Coturnix japonica: one gene and its partners. The protein of the gene in region 3 purifies or fractionates together with the protein of the main gene of each other region. This does not show direct contact. Links are inferred from orthologs where the notes say so. Each region holds a gene or a part of one and is shown on either strand. Other genes may lie near its edges.

Region 1 (4,192 bases), on a different chromosome or scaffold from region 3:
TTATGGAAGCCTTTTAAATACATCCCATAACTGTGCAGTTTCTTATGGGCCGCGTAAGAAATCAGTAACACATTTCCTTTCTCCTCCCCCTGCTGAGGTGCAAGTGGCTGAATGTTTTCAACTATGCTTTAGCAGAACAGATACTTGGACAAACTTATCCATCTAAAAACACCCCCACTGACAGGCATTGCAGAAGCTAAACTAGAAACCATCCTGTAGAATAAAGCTTCGTGGACATGTTTACAGCCTTGGTTTTACAGATGTGGTGTGCTCAGCTTTCTTACTAGTTATTGACCCTTACTCCTCAGCCTGAGCCATGAAAAGTCACTTAATGAAGATGCTGGTACTCTGCCTTCATAGCAAATGCCTTCAGTGATTTAACACCTAGATGTGAGCTATAGTTATATATTGGTGGGTATGGCCCGCGGTGCTGGAGTTCAAGGAGCATTTGGATGCTGCTCTCAGACGTGTGGAGCCAGGAGTGGGACGCGGTGATCCCTGGGGCTGCCTTCCAACTCAGCATGTTCTGTGGAGCCCCTGCCAACAATTGAATGGGATTACAGTTGAGTACACGTAAGTAACTGTAACATGGGTGCATTACATTCTCTTAGAAGAAGAAAACAGATCCTTTTAACCCAGACTGCCCAGGGAGGTTGTGGATGCCCCGTCCTTGGAGGTGTTCAAGGCCAGGATGGATGGGGCCCTGGGCAACCTGATCTAGTAAATGTGTATGTTTGGTGGCCCTGCCAGGCAGGGGGTGATCCTTGAGGTCCCTTCCAAACCAGGTCGTTCTGTGATTAAAGGAATAAAGTATTTGTTTCCCTTCTGGGGTTAATTTCCCACTAGAAAGCCATACAGGTGTTTTACACGAGTACACCCTGCTGGAATCACGAGGGCTTTCAGTGCTGGTGCCCCCGTTTCAGAAGCCAAAGGCTGGGGCTGCCAGCACCTTTGGTGACTCTCATGGGGCACCTGTCAGCCGGGAATGTACGGCATGGGGGCACTCGGGGCAGTTTGGAGCTCTCAAGCAGAAGCCCCGAATTGATGCTGAAGCGAATCTCCTTGGCCCTGTGTGAAACGCGAGGCCACCGGGGATCTCTGCTAGTCTGCAAGTTCCCACCCCGCAGCTCGCTGTCCGCGTCCCCTCGGGCCGCAGTCTCGGGCCTGAGGCGGAGCTCGGCGACTCTATGGCTGCCGTGCCGAGGGGGAGGCGGCGGAGCGGCACCTCCATCCCGGCTGGCCGCGCTCCAGGCGATGCCGTTCAGCATTGGGGCAGCGAGTCCCGACCGGCCGCCACTCGGCCCGGCTCCCCCGGGGCTGGGATCCGCACCCCGCCCCTCCCCGCCGCCCCCAGGGGAGCACGGCGTGCGGCGCTGCCGGGCGGGGCTTAGCGCGGGGCTTAGCGCTGGGCCCGCCGGGAGCCGTGACGCGGCGCCGAGGCCCCGCCCCGTGGCAGGGTATATAAGGGGCGGCGCTCACGCCGTCGTTCTTTTCCGCTCCGGGTTTGCCGACGCCGTGCGGGTGAGGAGCGTGCGGCGGGGCGGGCCGGGCCCGGGGGTGGGGGGAGCGGGGATGCTGGGGGTGCGTGGATGTACCGTGAGCGGGGGGTTGAGGCGCCGCCGTGCAGCGGTGCGTGGGGATGGCGGAGCGGGGGGATGGCGAGATAAGGGGCGGATGGGGGAAGCGGGGCGAGCGGCGGCGTAACGCCGACGTGTCCCATCCGAGGGCTCACGCGAGGCAGCGCCGCGATGAGCACATGGGGCCGCACCGCCGCTTCGGCTTCTTGCGGAGCCGCCTGGCGCTGCTGTGCGGCGTGCGGTGCTCGGCCGTACGCGGGTGGCGGCCGGGGATGGCGGGGCCGCGCCGTCGGTGTGGGCGATGGGGGAAGGGAAGGCCGGGGCACGAGAAAAAAAATGGCCGCCCGCTCTTCCTGCCGCCGTCAGCTCACAAAATGGAGGACGGCGGCCCGGGCGGGGTGAGTCACACACAAAGGAGAGGGGCGGCCCCGCCCTCCGCGCCGCCCCGCGCCGCCGCCCCAGCACGGCCCGGCCCGGCCGCCATGCGGGGAGGGGGCGACGGAGGAGGGGGGCGAGCCGGAGGGGACACGGGCCGCCAACACCGCCCGCCTCTCCCCGCTGCTCGACTCCCCCCTCCCATCCCCCGGTGGGGCGGGGCCGAGCCTACACGGGCCCTCTGCCCCCTGCGGGCGGCGCTGCTGCGGGACGGGGGCGGCCGCTGTAACCGGGATTCCTTCTGGAACTTTCAGGTGTCGTTTCTCTTTGGCCGGAAGAAAGAAGCTAAAGACCATCCGAAATGGGAAAGGAGAAGACTCACATTAACATCGTCGTCATCGGCCACGTCGATTCCGGCAAGTCCACCACCACCGGGCACCTCATCTACAAATGTGGTGGCATCGACAAGAGGACCATCGAGAAGTTCGAGAAGGAGGCGGCCGAGGTGTGTGAGGCAGCCGTGTGGTGGGAGACTGGGGGGAATAAGGGGCAAAAGGAAGGAAACCAGAACGTTTTACTACCACAAGGAGGCGGTTGGGTCGAGATTGTCCTGGTAATTGAACTAGAGTACTCAATCTGTTATGTTAAGGTGAAGTCATCGAAGCATAGAATAAAGAGCATGAAGCTAAATCTGAACGCTTAGAATCAAAATGGGAGCTCCCATCTTCATTCTCGGCCTGGATTGAGAATTACAGAATCGTTAATGTTGGAGAAGACCTTGAAACTCCAACTATCAGCCCATCCCCACCATGGCCACTAACCATGTCCCTCAGTGCCACGTCAGCAGGTTTCTTGGACACTTCAAGGGTAGTGACTCCACCATCTCTGTGCACAGCCTGTTTCAATGCATTGCTGCTCTTATGGAGTAGGAATTACTCCTAATATCCAATCTGGACCTCCCCTGGCACAGCTTTAGACTGTTGTCTCATGTCATCTTGTAGTTTAGTTGAAAATGTAATGATCAGCCTTGTCTCAAGGTGGGAGAGTCTAAGGTACCATTATGTGAACCTGTGGAAGTATTCCAGTTTTCCTTTGTTTTGTTTTAGTGATAAAATAGCACCTCGTAAGCACATGATAAAAGGAAATGCAGTGAATGCTGGGCTGTGTGGCTGTTAAAATACCAACTGGAGCAGGGATGGCATTAGTAACTAAGCTAAAATTTGTAGTGGACACTTGATAGTAGGACTAAGCCTTAAGAGATCCATCATAAAGATGTGTTAGCACAATTAACAAGTTGTCAAGAGGGCTGAAGTGTCAGCAGGTTAAATGACAGAGCAGTTGGCATATCTTGGTAGTAGTGCCAAGTGAACCTAGGCCAGAGTTTTATGAGCAACAGCAGCTTTCAGTGTAAGTCACTCCCTATTAATAACTTTGCTCGTTAGTGTGTATTTCATGGTCTTGGTGAGGTAAATGAAAATATATATCTTGAGGGGTTTTTTTTTCCTGTTTCAAACCCATAGATGGGCAAAGGTTCCTTCAAATACGCCTGGGTCTTGGACAAGCTCAAGGCTGAGCGTGAGCGTGGTATCACTATTGATATTTCCCTGTGGAAATTTGAAACAAGCAAGTACTACGTCACCATCATCGACGCTCCTGGACACAGAGACTTCATTAAGAACATGATCACTGGAACTTCTCAGGTAAGGAAATAAAGGATGTGGGGAGTTGAGGGAAGCTGCTCCTTGGCTGGTTTACAGCAGGGAAATTGCCCATGTGCTTTAGTGTGCGTGTAGGCTTTCTAACAAGGGCTTTTTTCTACCTTTTCAAAGGCTGATTGTGCTGTCCTGATTGTTGCTGCTGGTGTTGGTGAGTTCGAGGCCGGTATTTCCAAGAACGGGCAGACCCGCGAGCACGCTCTTCTGGCCTACACCCTGGGTGTGAAACAGCTGATCGTTGGTGTTAACAAGATGGATTCCACTGAGCCCGCTTACAGCCAGAAGAGATACGAAGAGATCGTCAAGGAAGTCAGCACTTACATCAAGAAAATTGGCTACAACCCAGACACTGTAGCTTTTGTGCCAATCTCTGGTTGGAACGGGGACAACATGCTGGAGCCCAGCTCTAACGTAGGTTTCCCTGTTTTCCTTTTTAATATTAGGAAATGGAACTAGCAGGATCATTAAGATAAGTTAAACAATAGTTAAATACGTGGGTTTGGGTTTTTTCAGTAGTAGTATTTT
Region 2 (3,953 bases), on a different chromosome or scaffold from region 3:
CACTTCCACACACAGATTACAGAATCACAGAATGACCCGGGTTGGAAGGGACCTCAAGGATCATGTAGTTCCAATCCCCTGCCTGGCAGGGCCACCAAACATCCACATTTACTAGATCAGGTTGCCCAGGAGACCCCACAGATCCACATCGAGACCCCACAGATCAGGTTGCCCAGGGCCCCGTCCAACCTGGCCTTGAACACCTCCAAGGACGGGGCATCCACAACCTCCCTAGGCAGCCTGTTCCAGGGCCTAACCACTCTCCTAGTGAAGAACTTCCCCCTAACATCCAACCTATAATTCTAAGATTCTCACACACAGGAGGAGAAAAGCTTGGTCTTGGTGTTGCTTCAGCCCGTGGTTTCTCCTGCTAACACAGCCTGAATCAGCTGTCAGCTACACTCACGCCAGCCCACTTAGAGATGCCCCACAAACCACTTCCAGGAGCACAAGTAGAAGCTTTTCATGTACAACAACACCTTAAACACATACAGCAACATCTCACACACACTTGGATCACCTCGAGTTCTTCCCATTCCCATAAGGTTCCCATACAACTCCGAGCACACTCCCAGCTCTAGGCTGCCTCCCTTATAATGACCAGGGGGAACTCAATCTCATTTAGGTTTACTGATACTTAACAATCAGCACATGCCTGACTACCTTTGTGTTTGCTGCTTAAATGAAGCAGCAGATCAGCACTGCTGCCCTGTTGGCTCCTACTGAATCCAATTCCAAATCAGACTCAAGACAATAATTTCCCACCGTTAATCGTTAGCAGTTCTTTAACACAAGCTGCAATGAAGCGGATGCAATAATGTTTAATTACGTAGCCAGGCACTAATCTGATTTGGAAACCAAGTCTCCTTTATCTGGAAACAGGAGAAAATCTTCTTAAGGAAATATGTTTGACCTCAACATTTCATGCCCATGGGAGAAACCTTGTGGAGCCTTTACCTTAAAATGAGAGCAAACAGCATCCAAAATACACTTATCATCACTAAAGCTGAGAGCAAAGATCCTGGATGTGGTAACAAAGAGCTTCTCAAGTTAGAGACTGAAAAACAGCCAAGAGAAGGATCTGAAAGAGCAGCAAAGGGGCTGAAGCATCAGCTGGGAAGCTCCTAATGATCCATAGGGAGAAGGCTGGACACAGCTTGCAGCCCTGTATTCTTTTACAGCAGGTTTCAATGAGATACATTAAAAAGGAGCATCAGATACAGCCCAAAGGGGCATCATTACAGTAATTCATCATTAAGTCCAGGCTTGGAAGCAGGTAATACTTCAAGGTGAGGTTAATTGAGCGTCAAGATGCATCAAGATAACTGATTACTATGCCATATCAGCACTGCTGATGCGTTACAGCTTTCTGCATGCTTGCTCAGAAAGGCTAAACAGGATTAATTCACACTTGGCTTAAACTTCACGTTCCTCTTCAACTTCTGCAATTAACGAGGACGGAGAAAGAAGAGCAGCCGCTCCAATAGTATTTCCCTCCCCCCCCCATATCAGTATCATTGGGCCGCTCCTACAGCCGTCGGTGCTGGGAGCTCTATGGGACTTTGAGGGCGTAAGAGGAGCAGAAAACGGGCAGGTAACACCCACATGGAGGCACCCACTGACCCTCATCCCTCCATAGAATCACAGAATGACCCAGGTTGGAAGGGACCTCAAGGATCATGTAGTTCCAACCCACAATAGACCCCATTAACCCCATAGAGGCCCCATATCCACCCCATAACCCCATAGAGACCCCATAACCCCATATAACCTCATATAACCCCCAATAACCCCACAGAGACCCCAAAGACCCCATAGATCCCAATAGATCCCCATAGAGACTCCATAAACCCCACAGAATCACAGAATGACCTGGGTTGGAAGGGACCTCAAGGATCATGTAGTTCCAACCCCCTACCTGGCAGGGCCACCATACACACACAGTTACTAGATCAGGTTGCCCAGGAGACTCCATAGATCCCCACAGAGACCCCATAGATCCCCATAGAAACCCCAGAGACCCCATAGATCCCCCATAGAGACCCCACAGAGACCCTATGGACCCCATAGAGACCCCATAGATCCCCATAAAGACCCCAGAGACCCTATAGATCCCCATAGAGACCCCACAGATCAGGTTGCCCATGGCCCCGTCCAACCTGGCCTTGAACACCTCCAAGGACGGGGCATCCACAACCTCCCTGTGCAGCCTGTTCCAGGGCCTCACCACTCTCCTAGTGAAGAACTTCCCCCAACATCCAACCTAAATCTTCCCTCTTTTAACTCCAAACTATTTCCCCGTGTCCTTCTATTGTCAACATCCCTCCGGTGCTTCCCAAAACACGGTTAACGTGATGCTGAGACCACAACAACCGCAGCCCTTCGGTTCCCCGGCAGCTCCCACAACTCCTGAAGGGATCCTCTTCAATTAGCGGCTCTAATTAACGTTATGAGTTAATTGAACCCCAACCCCGAACCTCAGCCCCAACCTCAGCCCCGGGTTTAAGCGCATCAACTCAACGCTCCCGTTGGGCCCAAGCGGAGGGGCCTGGCCTCGCCCCGCAACCCCGCGTCACGGCCGGGCCCCGAGTCCCCTCAGATCCGCTCCTTCACGGTCCTTCCCCCCCCCGTTCCCCTCAGCCGCTCCCTCCCCTCCTCCCCGCGGCCTCTCACCGCGGCGGGGCGCGGCCCCCGCAGGCCCCGGGCCCGGACGGCGACAACGGGCCTGACGGCGACGGCACGTCGGGGCGGAAGCGGAAATGGCTGCGGGGATCTTTTTGCGCATGCGCGTCCCGCCCGCCTGAGGGCTGCCGGGAAAGAATGGAAGGAAGGAAGTGAAGCCGCGCGCTTTGCTCACGTGACACGAGAGCGCGGGAAACCGGTGGAAAAGGCGCGCCCCGCGTGGCGGGAAATAACCACGTGGGGGCGAGCGGAACCAGCCCGGCCCATTAACGCCACCCAGAACCCAAAACCCAGCGCTTCTCCCCCCACCCCCAACCGCAACACCCGAGCGTGGCCGAAGCAGAGCGCTGCACACAGCATTTATTAACAGCAGCAGCACCCAAAGGACAGACGGCCATGAGGACAGACGGCTGTAACCCCGTTAGCAGCCCAGCCATGGGTCCATGCGACTCTTGCGGGCGAGGAAGGAGATCTTGCGGGCCATCTCAGTGTTGTACACACGCCTGCACGCTTCATAAGCCAAGCGCTGCCTCTTGCGACACGGCTTCTCGTAGTACCGGCCCTGCTTCACTGACTCAACGATGCCATCCTGAGACAGGATCCTGTGGGGGGAGAACATGAGTCACATTGAAGAGTGAAGCAGGAAACTTAAAGGTAGTTTAGAGAAAGAAGTAAAAGAAACTTAAAGGTAACAAGTAAAAGAAACAAGGGGCCTGGGAGCCTGGAACAGGCTGCCCAGGGAGGTTGTGGATGCCCCGTCCTTGGAGGTGTTCAAGGCCAGGTTGGATGGGGCCCTGGGCAACCTGATCTATGGGGTCTCTATGGGGATCTATGGGGTCTCCTGGGCAACCTGATCTAGTAAAGGTGTATGTTTGGTGGCCCTGCCAGGCAGGGGGGTTGGAACTACATGATCCTTGNGTGGCCCTGCCAGGCAGGGGGGTTGGAACTACATGATCCTTGAGGTCCCTTCCAACCCCGGTCATTCTGTGATTCTATGGGAGAGCAGGGAGGATGCAGATAAGGAGTGAGACCTCACGGATGAGGAGTTGCATTCCCCCTGATAAGAACAAGAGGGGGTCTGCATGCTAAAGAGCTATTGAATATGTATCAGAATTCCTAGAACTATTGACAATGTATTAGAAGTCTAAGAAATCATTGAATATGTATCAGAAATCATTGACTATGTATTAAGTGTACCTAGATCTGTGTCATGATTTTACAAGTCGGTGTGCATGTTTGGTGGAGCTATCCCCCTTGCACCCGGCGCTACG
Region 3 (4,190 bases):
GGAGAGAAAAGCCAGGAATAACTGCAGAGCAACAGGAGCAGGAGAGAAGGCTGCTGCAGGGATTGGGGGGTCAAAAGAGCAGCAGTCAAAGTAAGGAACAGGGAGATCGTTACTGCTACCCAACGCACGTGGGATATTCACACTACCTTGCCGTGGTGAAGGTGCCCACACAGAGTCACATTCCGAATCAGCTCGGAGTTGTCCATCAGATCTGCCAGGAAACTGGAGGGATGAAGCACAAAAGACTGTTGGAGGCTTCTGCTGTGTCTAAGAAAAGTAGGCGCCGCTTTGCACCCAAGGGCCCCTCTGAATCCTCTCCAAACTTTCATGCCCTGCGGAGGAAGAATCCCACTCTGCAGATGGGGAGGACAAGAGAGTTGGAGTCCTGGACAGATGGCAGTGGGTGGGAGGAGACGGAGTTGGTAAAACTGCAAGAGATTAAATACTCCGAACGCCTTTCTTCTCTTCTAGACAGTATTAGAGCAACTCGGAGGAGGAAACGCTTCCGCTCCAATGGTGGCAGGTAGTCAACCAAACCACAGAGGTGGATAACAACACCCCACACACTTTTAAAAGGTAACCACAGGGTTCCACAGACTATTAATTCTAACTTGCAGGTCTTAATTCTGGTTTTCAGGTCTTAAAACACTGATGTTCCCAGGGACCCAAGGAACAGTCATAGAACTTAAATGGTTTTTAATCACCAACGAGATGGGACTGATGGGCTGGTCACTTCTGCAGAGATCCCAGCCAAAATGGAACTGAGAGCCTAAATTAGCAGCTACTCTTCAAAATAATGGGAAGCTATCAGCCAAGGATCGATTATTATGGATCTGCGGATAGTAAGTCCGGTCAAATAATCTCCTTCTTCAAAAACACTTTAATTTTCACTTATGAAGCAGGCTTTTTAGCATACAACATTTTGATTAAGAGCTTAAAAAACACAGAAATCGATAGGAATACAAATTAAATGCTTGCCTATTGGTCTTAAACCAAGGCTAAATGTGAAATCAATAGCGAGCTTGCAGGTTTCTGGTTAAGTCCCACTGGGACTTCTGCGTGGTCCCATCCAAACCATTGACATCAAGGAAGAGCAGGAGTTAGAATTAATTACTGATGGAGTAAACAGAGGACAAAGGGATCAGAAAAATAATAGGAAATGCACCGTGTTGCCTACGAGGATGGCAAAATAGCTGTAAAATAGCTGGCCTTGTGCTTTTCTTCCTCTTCTTTTTGGTTCAGACTCAGGGAGCCAGCTGTACTTGCTTATATTGCTGCTGTTAGTAAGAACAAACCCAGTGCCCCCCTGTAAGCTCCCGCCTCCATATAGATCACCCCTCTGCCTCCCCACCCTGCCTGTAAGCAATGAGAAGTGAGGAAATTGCAGCACAGATGGCCTGAAACAAAGCTTCAAACTCTGCACATCACTTACTCCATCTCATAGACAGTGACTGGTAACGTCTGTTCCATCAAAGAGAACTTCTTGGTTTTCACAGGTTTAATAATAGGCTCTGAAAACAAAAGAAAGAACAATAAAACACTGTTATGGGTGACCTGAACCCAGCACCTCCAAACATCGAATGGGGATTTTCCGCAGACAAAAAACACAGCTTTGAATTGACAGATTCTCTTCCTATGGGGGGACCAAATGAGATGATTTAAACCCCACTCACCAGTGAGAGGCTGCGTGTCCTCCTCCTGCACTATGGTCTCCACTTCAGGCCCATAGACCTCCTCAGCAGTGGGGTAATACTTCTTGTCCTCATGCAGCACCACCTCCATCCCAGGGTGGTCCTCATCGTGGTCCCCCATATCATCATCATCGTCGTCATCCTCGAGCTGCAACCAACACTCACACTGAGCTGCTGCCAGCACCAAAGTGTTTCATAAGCCTGAACTGTGGCTGGAGGTAAATCTTGGTGTCACACATCAGGAGGAACAGGGAACTGACAGCACAAAGGGCACGCTCCATCCTGCAGAGCCTTCCCTGCAATGGGAGCCAGGCACGGGGCAGGACATGCTTAACACCTGCTGTGTGTGGCTGCACAGCACAGAACAGCCCTGCCACAGCCACGCACTCACCTCATCCAGGTCCTTGGACTCCCGGCCCAACTCATCATCCTCGTCATCAGAGTCCAGCTCTGGCCCGATGTAGTTCCCAAACTCATCATACAGGTCAGTATCCATGCTGGGGGTGAAGAGATGGGGTCAGAGCCGGGAGAACCCCTGGAACTACAACCCAGCCTCAATCCCAGCCCCAGAACCTGACCAAGATCCAGATCCAGCCTCAGTCCCAGAGCCCAAACCGGCCCCATATCCAGAATGGGTCCCACATCCAGAACCTGCCTCACAGCCAGACCCGGCCCCACGGACAGACCCGGCCCCACGGACAGACCCGGCCCCACGGACAGAACCGGCCCCACGGACAGAACCGGCCCCACGGACAGAACCGGTCTCAATACCAGAACATGCCTCACAGAACCTGTCCCCGGTCCTAAGCCCTAAGCCCCAAGGCCCAGGCCCCGGCTCCAGCCCTTAGCCCTGATTTCTTGGCCTCACCCCCTATTCCCTCCCCTTACCCCATACCCCATACCCCATACCCCATACCCCATACCCCATACCCCTGCCCCATATCCCGCCCCACACCCCCCCACTCACTCACCCTCACGTTCCCCGCTCACTCTCCGCCGTTGGCGCCGCCGACAGCGCAGCGGAAGGACCCGGGCTGCCCATGGCGCCTGTCCCGGGCGGTTCGACAGCGGCGCTGCTGCCGGCGCGGTTCAGTCAGGCGCGCCGCGGGCAGCCTCGTTGGGTCCTGAAGGCGGCCCTGTCTCCATGACAACGGGAGTAGCGGGCGCGGCGGGCGGAGCTGGGCCCTGTCGCGATAGGAATTGAGGCTGCCGGGTCAGCGGGGCTCGTGGGCGGGGCCTGTCGCGATAGGAATGAGGGTGAGCGGCCCAGTGAGGGACCCAGCGGGGGATATCGCGACAGGAATCCCTCGGGGTGCTGTGTGTCGGCATGGCGGCCTATCGCGACATGAGGGGTCGGCTGCGAGCCATTATGGCAGCAGGGCCCACGCTGCCGCTGAGGTGATACCTCAGTGGGTATCGCTGTCACAACAGGAGCCTTATCCTTATCCGTATCCTTATCCGTATCCTTATCCTTATCCTTATCCTTATCCGTATCCCCACAGCTTGTCGCGCTCCTGTCGTGACTGTCGCGACAGCCGATGGACGCGGGCGGAGCTGTGGACATGGCGGCGCTGCGGGAGGAGCTGCGGGCCGCGCTGGAGGCCGACGAGAGGCACGAGAGGGAGAATAACGCCAAGCTCCGCGCCGTGAGGCAGCGCCTGGGGTCGTACCAGGAGTTCAGGTGGGAGCGGAGCCCCCCAGGTCTGTCAGACGCTGGGCCTTCCCGCAGGGCTCCTCCTGCTCTGCTGCTGGGCCTCCCCGGGGCAGGAGCCATCGCCTGCCCTGCCTTGGATGTCCCAGGGCTCCTGAATGGCAGCAGGAAGATCCTTGAGGGCAGGTGGTGCGGGACGCCCCCAGTGTCCTCCACCTCAGCCCCATCCCCTCACATCCACAGAGAGATCTGTAGATACATCCAGGACTTGACCAACACATGGCAGGCTCATCCCATGCTGGAGCATGTAGTGCTGGAAGCCTCATTCTGCCTTAATGTGGTCGTGCTGTCAGCTCTGAGTAAAGGGAAACCTTTAAAATGGCATTTATGGCATTGCTTGTCCGTGTAAAAGGACTCTGTGCCGCAGTTCTGTTGTTAGAATATGATCAAAAAACACATTCCTGCTCAGTACACAAGTACTCAGTACTCAAGCCTGCAATGTGGTGTGATATCAGCAGCCAGGAGCCATCCACAGGAGAGCAGAACAGCTTCTCTCCGTGGGTGCAGTTTCCCCACTCACGAGGGCCAGCAGAGCCCTGACCCCATTGGAAGATCTCGTTACTGGGAGGACTAACGAGCGACAGGCACAGACGTTCATCCCACGGGATGAGAAGAATGACATGAGCTGCTGAGTCCAGGCTGCTGCAATTAGTTACAGACGTCGGTGTAATGGGATGGCTGAGTAAGAAGGCCTATAAGAATGGAAGAGTTCTCCTGTGGAAGCCCCAAAGATATAAAATCTTACTTGTACCCCAGGAAAAACGCAGGAGAAAGAGGAGTCCTGCCAG
Region 4 (4,250 bases), on a different chromosome or scaffold from region 3:
TTCCATATATGCAACAATTTTACAAGTTTTTAAATTCCCTGTGCTGTAAATTCTAAGGCACTAAGTGAACACAACAGCAAAGGGTTTTTCTATATATTCACCATGTTCACAGGAATTTTGCAGTTTATCGTAAGCATCCTACCTCCTATTATTTACAGTCTCTTACCTCCTCCTCTGTGAGTCTACCCACTCTTGGTCTCGACTGTCTTCTTCCGGGTCATACAGCAGCTCATCATTGGTAGGAATCCGACGTTGCTGATGCTTTCTTTTTTTCAGGACATCTTGCATAACTGTAGAGATTTGGGCATGCACAGGTTCCATCAGACAGACATACAATGATTCTCTACTCAACTAATCAAAAAATAATCTTTCCAATTTTCATTTTCAATACCTGCAATAAATGTAAATTAATTCATAAATATCTAGCTTTTCTCTCCTCTGTATAGACCACCCCAAAGTTTTAAAACACCTTACATACATTAGGATACATCACAAAGTTGCTAGAACTTTGCTGAAATGATACAGGCTGGTAACTGCCCCCAAAAGTCCCTCTTCAGCAATAGCCTCTGATGCCCTGAGAGGATTCTACTGTATCTGAGATACAGCACTAATATGAAGATGCTGCCTTCTCCCTCAGACCCTTACCAGTTTTGTCTTCATCTTCTGAATCAGAATCAAAGTAAATGTCATCATAGTATTTTGAAGTGGTGGCAGATCCAGCCTCTCCAGCGCTTGAAGAAGTACCTGCATTAAATTGAAGAGGGAAGTGGTAAGAACATCTCACCAAAAGGATAACATGCATATAGCCCAGTACAAACCATCATTTCCAAGCTGCCCTACTCAAGAGCCCCCCAGTACATCTGTGTGTATTAAGCTGCAGCTCTCCCAGTTTGTTCCCATGTCCCAATCAACTATGTTACTTGTGTGATTTCATTTACAGGTAAAAGAAATACAAGTTCTTCAAATGCCAGAGCAATCTACAGCACCCAAAACAGCATACGAAGTCCAGAATGGATAAATCCTTTACACAGTTTCACTACTTCATGTAACTTATAGTTATGAGCACTTAGGGGATTAATATTTTTCTTGACTCTTTTCCCCGCCTGATTTGCAATCTTAACCCACCACATGCCATTACTTTCAGCAAGAACGTGCTCCAAATGTTGATAGTGTCCTGAGCCATTGGACAAAGAGACTGCAAACTGCGTGAATGGCTTCCAAATACACACGTGAAAATCACTTACAACATAAGTTACAGAGACACCGGGGAAAAAAGAGGGCTGATCATTCAACAAGAAATCAAAGAGAAACAGGAAATTAGAGGTTCAGAAACAACATAACCAAAAAACTTAGAATGGATGAAACAAGTGCTCTCAAGGTACCCAAGTACCCATTTCTGCAGGACGGAAGAGCCATTTTAAGACTTCTCCACAGGTCTCAGCACCTCACTGCTACCACAAATCCCCCCTCAGTTGTAAGAACACTTCAACTCCTTAATTGGACACCGCTTAACCCTCAGTTTAACAGGCAAGCAGGTGTTAAGAATGATTTACCCATTTCTGGTGATTTCCACGTGCCTTCTATGTTCCTCACGGTGGTGTCGAGCTCTGCCTCCATCTCCTTCTGGAACTCATCATCGCTGGAAGATTCACTCTCCCCAGTCAGGCACTCCCGTAACAGCTTCCGCTTCTGGTCAGGAGTGCCGTGTAAGAGCACATCCACCTCATCTTCAGAGCTACAAACATTGAAACATCACACGCCTAATTATTACCAACAGCTCGCTACACAAGCTAATCAACAATCACCACCTGAGCTGTGTGGAAATACCGAGAAGCACTTATCTGTGTACTTATGTGAAACCCACTGGTTTTAATGCAAAGGAGCAGCGCACACACACACACACACAATCACACAGAATGACCCGGGTTGGAAGGGACCTCAAGGATCATGTAGTTCCAACCCCCCTGCCTGGCAGGGCCACCAAACACACACCTTTACTAGATCAGGTTGCCCAGGGCCCCGTCCAACCTGGTCTTGAACACCTCCAAGGACAGGGCATCAACAACCTCCCTGGGCAGCCTGTTCCAGGGCCTAACCACTCTCCTAGTGAAGAACTTCCCCCTAACATCCAACTTAAATCTTCCCTCTTTTAACTTAAAACCATTTCCCCTAGTCCTGCTATTATCAGCCCTTTAGAAGAGTTTACTCCCCTCCTGGGAGTAAGTTCCCTTCAGGTATTGAAAGGCTGCAATGAGGTCACCCCACAACCTTCTCTTCTCCAGGCTGAACAAGCCCAGCTCCCTCAGCCTGTCCTCATAGGGGAGGTGCTCCAGCCCCCTGATCATCTTCCTGTTCCTCCTCTGGACCCTTTCCAAAATCTCCAATCTTTTTTGTACTGAGGGCTCCACACCTGGACACAGTACTCCAGATGGGGCCTCACAAGAGCAGAGTAGAGAGGGACAATCACCTCCCTATCCCTGCTGACCACCCCTCTCCTGATGGAGCCCAGGATCCCATTTGCCTTCCGGGCTGCCAGAGCGCACTCGTAGCAGACAGACCCTTCCCACCATCAGCGGCCTCCTCCGTGACCGGCAGCACGAGGCAGACCAAACCCTGCAGCAGAGGGAAGCGGCGGCCCCCAGCCCGCCCCGGGAGCCGGCCGGCACCTGCTGAGCGCTCGCTCCTCGTCGCTGGGCTCCTCCACCACGTACGGATCATCCTCCTCCCGCAGGCGGCTCATGGCCGCTCAGCTCCCGGCACTTCTTCCGGCGGAAGCAGCACGGCGCAGGCCCAACTCCGCCCCCCGGAAGGGGACACGTTCCCCCCCCGACCGAGCACCGCCCCGCTGTGATGCCCCGAGCAGGGATCGGGCTGAAGGTTGAAGAGACAGACCCAATACCAAGAGGATTGAAAAAATTTAATGAGCTACTAACACTGAACAACGAGGACTAGTCTAAAAACTGTTTCCCACAGTCCTACTTAAAATATTTACAATTGTGGTAACTGTATATACATTGTAGTCTTTGTCCCTTATAGTCTATTTATAGATGAGTTCCTTAGGAATTACACCTTTGTATTTGGAAGATGAACAGCACAGTATTAGTGTGGTTGCCATTAATAGAAAATAGTATATACACGATGTGAGTTGCTAATAGCCACTGGGCACCAATAACCAGAAGTCTGAGGCTGTGCCTATGCAACTCAATGCAAAGAGCATGTGAAGCTGAGGAACCCCTGTCTTAGAAGCATTCCATGTGCAGTGCTGTGCTTTACTACACTGTGCAATTCACCCTATTGGAAAATAAACCTAGCCCTCCATGCAGCAGTACTGGAGAGTGTAATTACAGAGACTGACACTGACATTGGTCAGCATCTCCAATCAAAAAATGCCATTCACTGGAATTCTGCTGCTCTGCTGAAGGGCTACAAACCCATACAAAGCAGCAATCCCCCTGTGATGAATGATTAATCAAGTAAAGCCTAGTTTTACAACATTCTGAGATTATACAAGAGAACAGCAGCTCTTGGAAAGGACGTGCGGTTCAAGGGAGAGACAGAAAGCATTCAACAAACAAGAGACTGTGGATTCAAACAACAAAAGGTGTCCTGAGCTCTAAATCCAGTTAGCAGAAGGAGACACAGTTCAGGCATTCCTTTACTGGGTATGCCTTTACTACTTGTTTTCTGAAGCAAAGCTTCTCTTTTGTATAGAAGTGGGGCAGTATTACCTTTTTCTACTGAACACCCTTCTGCCAGTTTACTTTCCCCTTCTGGAAAGAAACCAGCTACTTCCCTTAAAAAACATTTCCACCAAAGAAAATGACAAGTCAGCCACTAAGGTGAAAACTATGCTGGATAGGAAAGTCACAAACAGAGGCAAATGGATAAACCTGAGAATGCAAGTGAAAAATTACCAGGCTAGTACTTCATGTTAAACCAATCTGGTACCTGTTTTACAGGATGAACAGAGAAAAATCTACTTTATCTGATTTACTAGAAAATATTAAGCTTATAGATGATACAATGTCTGCATAATTTTAGAAAAATCATTGATTTCATGGTTTATTTTACAATAATTGGATTAGTCTACAAGTTAAGGCAAACATACTAATGTATTTGCTTTTCCTTTTAAATCATAGTTATAAAGGTTACACAAAGTTCTTCAAAACTTCTAAGAAATGTTCACAATTGAAAAAAAAAGATTAAGTTTCTTGATATCAGTAAATGGAAAAAAACTAAGACAGTGTGTA
Region 5 (4,177 bases), about 2.2 Mb from region 3:
ATATACCTGCCTGGTTTCCTGGGCAGGTGACTAAAGTATTCACTGTGAGAAGAAATGACTGAGATACCAGGAACTACTTCCAAGCTAAAGTTTCTCAAAAGAATAAAGTACCTTTTCCACAATGAACCTGGCTCGCTCTGCTTCTTGCTGGGCCACTTGCTTCATTTCAACTGCTTCGGTGAATTCCTTACCAAAGGTCAGATGGGTCTGCAAGGCAGAAATCACAGTCCACAACAGCATTTACAGCAACACTGCTACCAACAGCACATGTCTAAGGCAGGAGGCGTTTTGCCTTTATCAGAGAAGATGGAAAGTCAGTATCGCTAAAAAAAAGAATGCAGTGTAACAGAAACTAAACCTAGCAAGCTTTCCATCCTTTTAAAAAACAAAGTCTATAGGTGGCCAGTGACACAACCAACTACTTTGACTTGAGCTGTAACCACTGCATCATGTGCAACTGCAAACAAACAGGGTCCACATACACAAGCTTTCACACCTCTTCTCCGATCCTCTACCAATTTTCTTCCCTATTTGCACAGGGAGAAAAACTGAAAGGGAACTCTTACCAAGGACACATCATCCAGAATGAGGCCAAAAGTTGCTGCTCTCTCTGTGAGGTCTTCGCTCACTTGCCTGGAGACCAGTTCTCTTTGAGTGATCAATTCTCCAGCATCAAAGCGAGCCTGAAGTCAGGATGGACAACAGTGAGAAGAAAGCTCTCAGATGCTCTACTTGTCACCCAACTTGATGAAAATAAAGCCAAGTAGTTAAAACGACAGAGAAGCAATCAGCATAGATACAGTTTTAACTCTTCTGTATTGCACATTAGAGCCAAGGGGTATAAAGAGAAGCCTCATTTTAGAGCTTCACATTTTCCACAATTCAGCACGTCTCATTAGTGCTAAAACAAAAGAGAAGCGACAGGTTGACCCCAGCATTTGTGCTGTTCTTACCACAACAGATTTGAGGATTTCAGTTGTGATGGAGGGCAGGACACGCTCATCATAGTCCTCCCCAATACTTGTGAAGATCCGGGGTAGCTGCGCAGTCACGGGTCTGAACAGGATACGCAGCGTGATGTTCACATTCTGTAGATCTGCAGAAACAGGCACAAATTTAGCATTAAACCTTATGGGCAGGAGATATACTGAAGCTGTCCCCTCCAGAGGAAAGCAAAATAAGACAAACATTCAGACTTCTAACAAAGGAAAGGTTTGTAGTATTTCATTAACCAAGGACTATATTTCACATAGGGATCCAAATCCTCCTTACAGATTAAACTGAAGCTTCAGTTTGTCTGTAATGCAGGGAATTACCCTACAGTAAACACAGACTTTTTATTTAAAGGATAAGTATCAAACTATTCCTGACTGCTAAACTCTACACTCATAGAATCTCCATGTTCAGAGATAAAACCCTCATTCCTATAGTCCTCTAGCACGTTAATGATCATAAGTGTCTTCAAAAAGCTTTTTCTCATGCCTCTGCCCACCCAGCTCCAAAGCAGCAGAAGAGTGAGACACACACAGTGCACATCAGAGTGCCTGGATCTTATAGAGCTGCCCAGTCCCAAACCTCACCTTTGCTGCCAGTAATGACAGGTATGTTACGTGGGCGAGAACGGCAATCAAAAATGATCGGTTTCTGTACCCAGGGGATGAGGAAATGAGTTCCTTCTCCTACCACCGTATCCTGGACTCCACGGAATCGATCAAAGATAACAGCTCTGTGTCCTGCATCAACTGGAAAAGAAAACAACATAGATTCAGTAGCATCATGAGTTATATCTGCACAGCAGCAAAACTTCCATAGGGACAGTCTATGGAGGTTAGTTAAGGCTTTTTGCTATGTAAAAATGGCAAAGCTATTAATATTCTTAGGAATAACAAATCAAAAGAGAATACTCATCCATTACCACTGAGCCCTCAGCCTGCTCACAAGAGAGTTGTGTTGAAAAAGCCTGAATTCCTCCTACTTATGCAATGCACAAGGTACAAAACAGCCCTGAAAGAGGCTTTATCACTGTCTTCCCCAGATACCACAAGCAATAAAAGCACAGAGCAGCCAGATAATAAGGACATAAAGAGAACTGGAAACACTCAGCCTGTCCCACTCACCATTATATAGAGCAGAATTGACGACTCCACCTGCAACAGCCAACCCCAGGCCGAACTTCCCAATGCTCTCAAACACTTTGGCAGCCATTTCTCACGTGCTGTTCTAACCCCTTTATGATGAACCTCCTGCAAAAAAAAAATCCCATAACTTCGGTAAAACTATAGGAAACGAGAAAACCAGGCAGCCCTAGTGTGTACCTAGAGCTGGGATGGAACCCCAATCCAAAAAGCCCACCATGAAATGGGATCATTCATTATAATAGCAATTTCTTTGCCCCTCAGCAGCCATACAGGCCTCTCCACTCCCCCCCCCCTTATCACCTTGGACTCTGAACCCAAGACCCCACATCCCCCCCTTCCCCCCCCCCAAAACCCCTCGAGGAACCCCACACCTCGAACCCCCTTTAATTCCCCATTCTCCCCCCCTCCCTCCTCCCACCCACGTTTCCCGAGGCCTCTGACTCTCAGGACACAGACCTGGCGGGTGAAGGCCTCGTTCGTACCCTCAGCCCCCAGCTCAGCTCCAATACCCCAAGACCCTCCGCCCCCTCCCACCCCACTCTCCTCCCGCAGCTCCCCTGACCTCCACATGAATCCTCGGCCTCCCACCCTACCGCGCATGCGTGCAACCTCAACACGCCCTCTCCCTATTGGCCCGCGCTTTCCACGAGGCATTCTGGGACTTGTAGTTCTTCGTTGTTATTGTAGTTACAGGGTAGGACACAACTCCCAGCGAGCTTCGCGGCGGTACCACATGCTGAGCAAGGCTGCTTCCTATTGGTTGTTTAGCTCGCTGATAGCAATGAGCCTCTGGGCCTGCAACCCCAGAGCCGGGCAGGCCCAGGCAGAGGAAGGAGCTTAATGCTTAACACAGACCATTGACATTGAGGCGCAGTGCTATTTTATTTAGCTCTTAGCTTTAGCTGACATGGCTCCTTGTGCTGTACACAGGCGGTGCTTTGCTCTGCTTGTTGTGGTCTGTGGTCCTCACCATTGCTGCATGTACTGAATAGCCTATAGATGCAAAGGGAAATTACTTTGGCTTCTAAACAGATGGATCTCAGCTCTTTGAGGCAGCTCCTTACCGTGAAGCGATTGGGCAGCCTGGCACTTGGGTTGGACGCTTGATGACTCGGGCAGCAGCAACGATACGGCTGAGGCTCTATAATAGGAACAAGGTAGAGCTGAGTAGAGCCCAGCCCGGCTCTCAGCCCTTCCTTTAACCCCAGGGCCGCTTTCTGCTCACCGGGAGGCAATGCCTGCGTCGGGCTGTTATCAATACCGTGCCTCGTATCCATTCTAGAGCAGCCCGCGGACTGCAAAGTACATATGGGGCTATAAGAGCCGCCCTAGCTCCGTTCCCCAGCCCTTCCCTCGCTCTACACACACCCGTATTAACGCGGCCCTGCGCCGCTCCAGCGCGGCCTGCCTTCGCCTCGCCTCCCAGTGCAAGGCCGACATGGCGGCGGCAAGCGTCGCCTAGCAACGGCCACTTCCGGCACCCCCCAGCGCTGATTGGATCCGGACAGAGCCGCTCTAGCTCTCTATCCTCTCTATGATCAGCTTGACTTCCGGTGCTTCCCGGATGCGGAAGTGGCTCCTGGTGTGTGGGGTGGGGGTGGGGGAAAGATGGCGGACCTGGCGGCTTTAGAGGAGCTCGCCAAGCTCGAGTATTTATCGCTGGTCTCTAAGGTCTGCACCGAGCTTGACAACCACCTGGGTATCAACGATAAGGATCTGGGTGAGTGAGGTGGGGTGATAGCTGTGGGGAGGTTGTAACCGGGCCTGACGGCCATGATGCCTTCAACGAAAGGCCTTTGGAATTGAGAAGAATAAAATATATCTCTAAAAGAAATATTATAAAACGTTTAGATGTGAGCGCCTAGAAGGGGATGCTGCTGTTCTGTAGGTAGATGGATCGATCTGGGTGCTGCCCTTGAACACCTTGGAGGTGTTCGAGACCAGGTTGGACAGGGCCCTGGGCAACCTGATCTATGGGATCTATGGGGTCTCTGTGGGGATCTATGGGGTCCATGGGGTCTCTATGGGGATCTATGGGG

What was found. The genes of interacting proteins can lie anywhere in the genome.
Region 1: the proteins of EFTUD2 (region 3) and EEF1A1 fractionate together in Homo sapiens (co-fractionation; 4 studies listed by BioGRID, with this or other methods). This does not show direct contact. The link is inferred for Coturnix japonica from reciprocal best matches to the Homo sapiens genes EFTUD2 and EEF1A1.
Region 2: the proteins of EFTUD2 (region 3) and PRPF3 purify together in Homo sapiens (affinity purification with mass spectrometry; 3 studies listed by BioGRID and IntAct, with this or other methods). This does not show direct contact. The link is inferred for Coturnix japonica from reciprocal best matches to the Homo sapiens genes EFTUD2 and PRPF3.
Region 4: the proteins of EFTUD2 (region 3) and EAPP purify together in Homo sapiens (affinity purification with mass spectrometry; 4 studies listed by BioGRID and IntAct, counting the BioPlex papers as one, with this or other methods). This does not show direct contact. The link is inferred for Coturnix japonica from reciprocal best matches to the Homo sapiens genes EFTUD2 and EAPP.
Region 5: the proteins of EFTUD2 (region 3) and PHB purify together in Homo sapiens (affinity purification with mass spectrometry; 3 studies listed by BioGRID, with this or other methods). This does not show direct contact. The link is inferred for Coturnix japonica from reciprocal best matches to the Homo sapiens genes EFTUD2 and PHB1.

Annotation. Positions count from the first base shown.
Region 1 is NC_029518.1:74,352,704-74,356,895, forward strand, and holds the start of EEF1A1 (elongation factor 1-alpha 1), read left to right. Parts: upstream 1-1,392; 5' UTR 1,393-1,521; intron 1,522-2,266; 5' UTR 2,267-2,313; coding exon 2,314-2,457; intron 2,458-3,472; coding exon 3,473-3,652; intron 3,653-3,781; coding exon 3,782-4,078; intron 4,079-4,192. UniProt on the Homo sapiens protein: Translation elongation factor that catalyzes the GTP-dependent binding of aminoacyl-tRNA (aa-tRNA) to the A-site of ribosomes during the elongation phase of protein synthesis.
Region 2 is NC_029540.1:1,894,025-1,897,977, forward strand, and holds the start of PRPF3 (U4/U6 small nuclear ribonucleoprotein Prp3), read right to left. Parts: upstream 2,801-3,953; 5' UTR 2,674-2,800; intron 1-2,673. Other genes in the region: MRPS21 (28S ribosomal protein S21, mitochondrial), read right to left, coding at 3,104-3,284. UniProt on the Homo sapiens protein: Plays a role in pre-mRNA splicing as component of the U4/U6-U5 tri-snRNP complex that is involved in spliceosome assembly, and as component of the precatalytic spliceosome (spliceosome B complex).
Region 3 is NC_029542.1:776,150-780,339, forward strand, and holds the start of EFTUD2 (116 kDa U5 small nuclear ribonucleoprotein component), read right to left. Parts: upstream 2,801-4,190; 5' UTR 2,663-2,800; intron 2,189-2,662; 5' UTR 2,188-2,188; coding exon 2,083-2,187; intron 1,840-2,082; coding exon 1,674-1,839; intron 1,512-1,673; coding exon 1,433-1,511; intron 223-1,432; coding exon 147-222; intron 1-146. Other genes in the region: CCDC103 (coiled-coil domain-containing protein 103), read left to right, coding at 3,230-3,372. UniProt on the Homo sapiens protein: Required for pre-mRNA splicing as component of the spliceosome, including pre-catalytic, catalytic and post-catalytic spliceosomal complexes. Component of the U5 snRNP and the U4/U6-U5 tri-snRNP complex, a building block of the spliceosome.
Region 4 is NC_029520.1:32,516,431-32,520,680, forward strand, and holds the start of EAPP (E2F-associated phosphoprotein), read right to left. Parts: upstream 2,801-4,250; 5' UTR 2,741-2,800; coding exon 2,667-2,740; intron 1,736-2,666; coding exon 1,554-1,735; intron 745-1,553; coding exon 646-744; intron 291-645; coding exon 167-290; intron 1-166. UniProt on the Homo sapiens protein: May play an important role in the fine-tuning of both major E2F1 activities, the regulation of the cell-cycle and the induction of apoptosis. Promotes S-phase entry, and inhibits p14(ARP) expression.
Region 5 is NC_029542.1:2,952,415-2,956,591, reverse strand, and holds the start of PHB (prohibitin), read right to left. Parts: upstream 2,801-4,177; 5' UTR 2,701-2,800; exon of another isoform or gene 2,595-2,700; intron 2,244-2,594; 5' UTR 2,206-2,243; coding exon 2,118-2,205; intron 1,743-2,117; coding exon 1,581-1,742; intron 1,097-1,580; coding exon 954-1,096; intron 796-953; exon of another isoform or gene 684-795; coding exon 567-683; exon of another isoform or gene 540-566; intron 208-539; coding exon 112-207; intron 1-111. Other genes in the region: ATP-dependent RNA helicase DHX8, read left to right, coding at 3,747-3,858.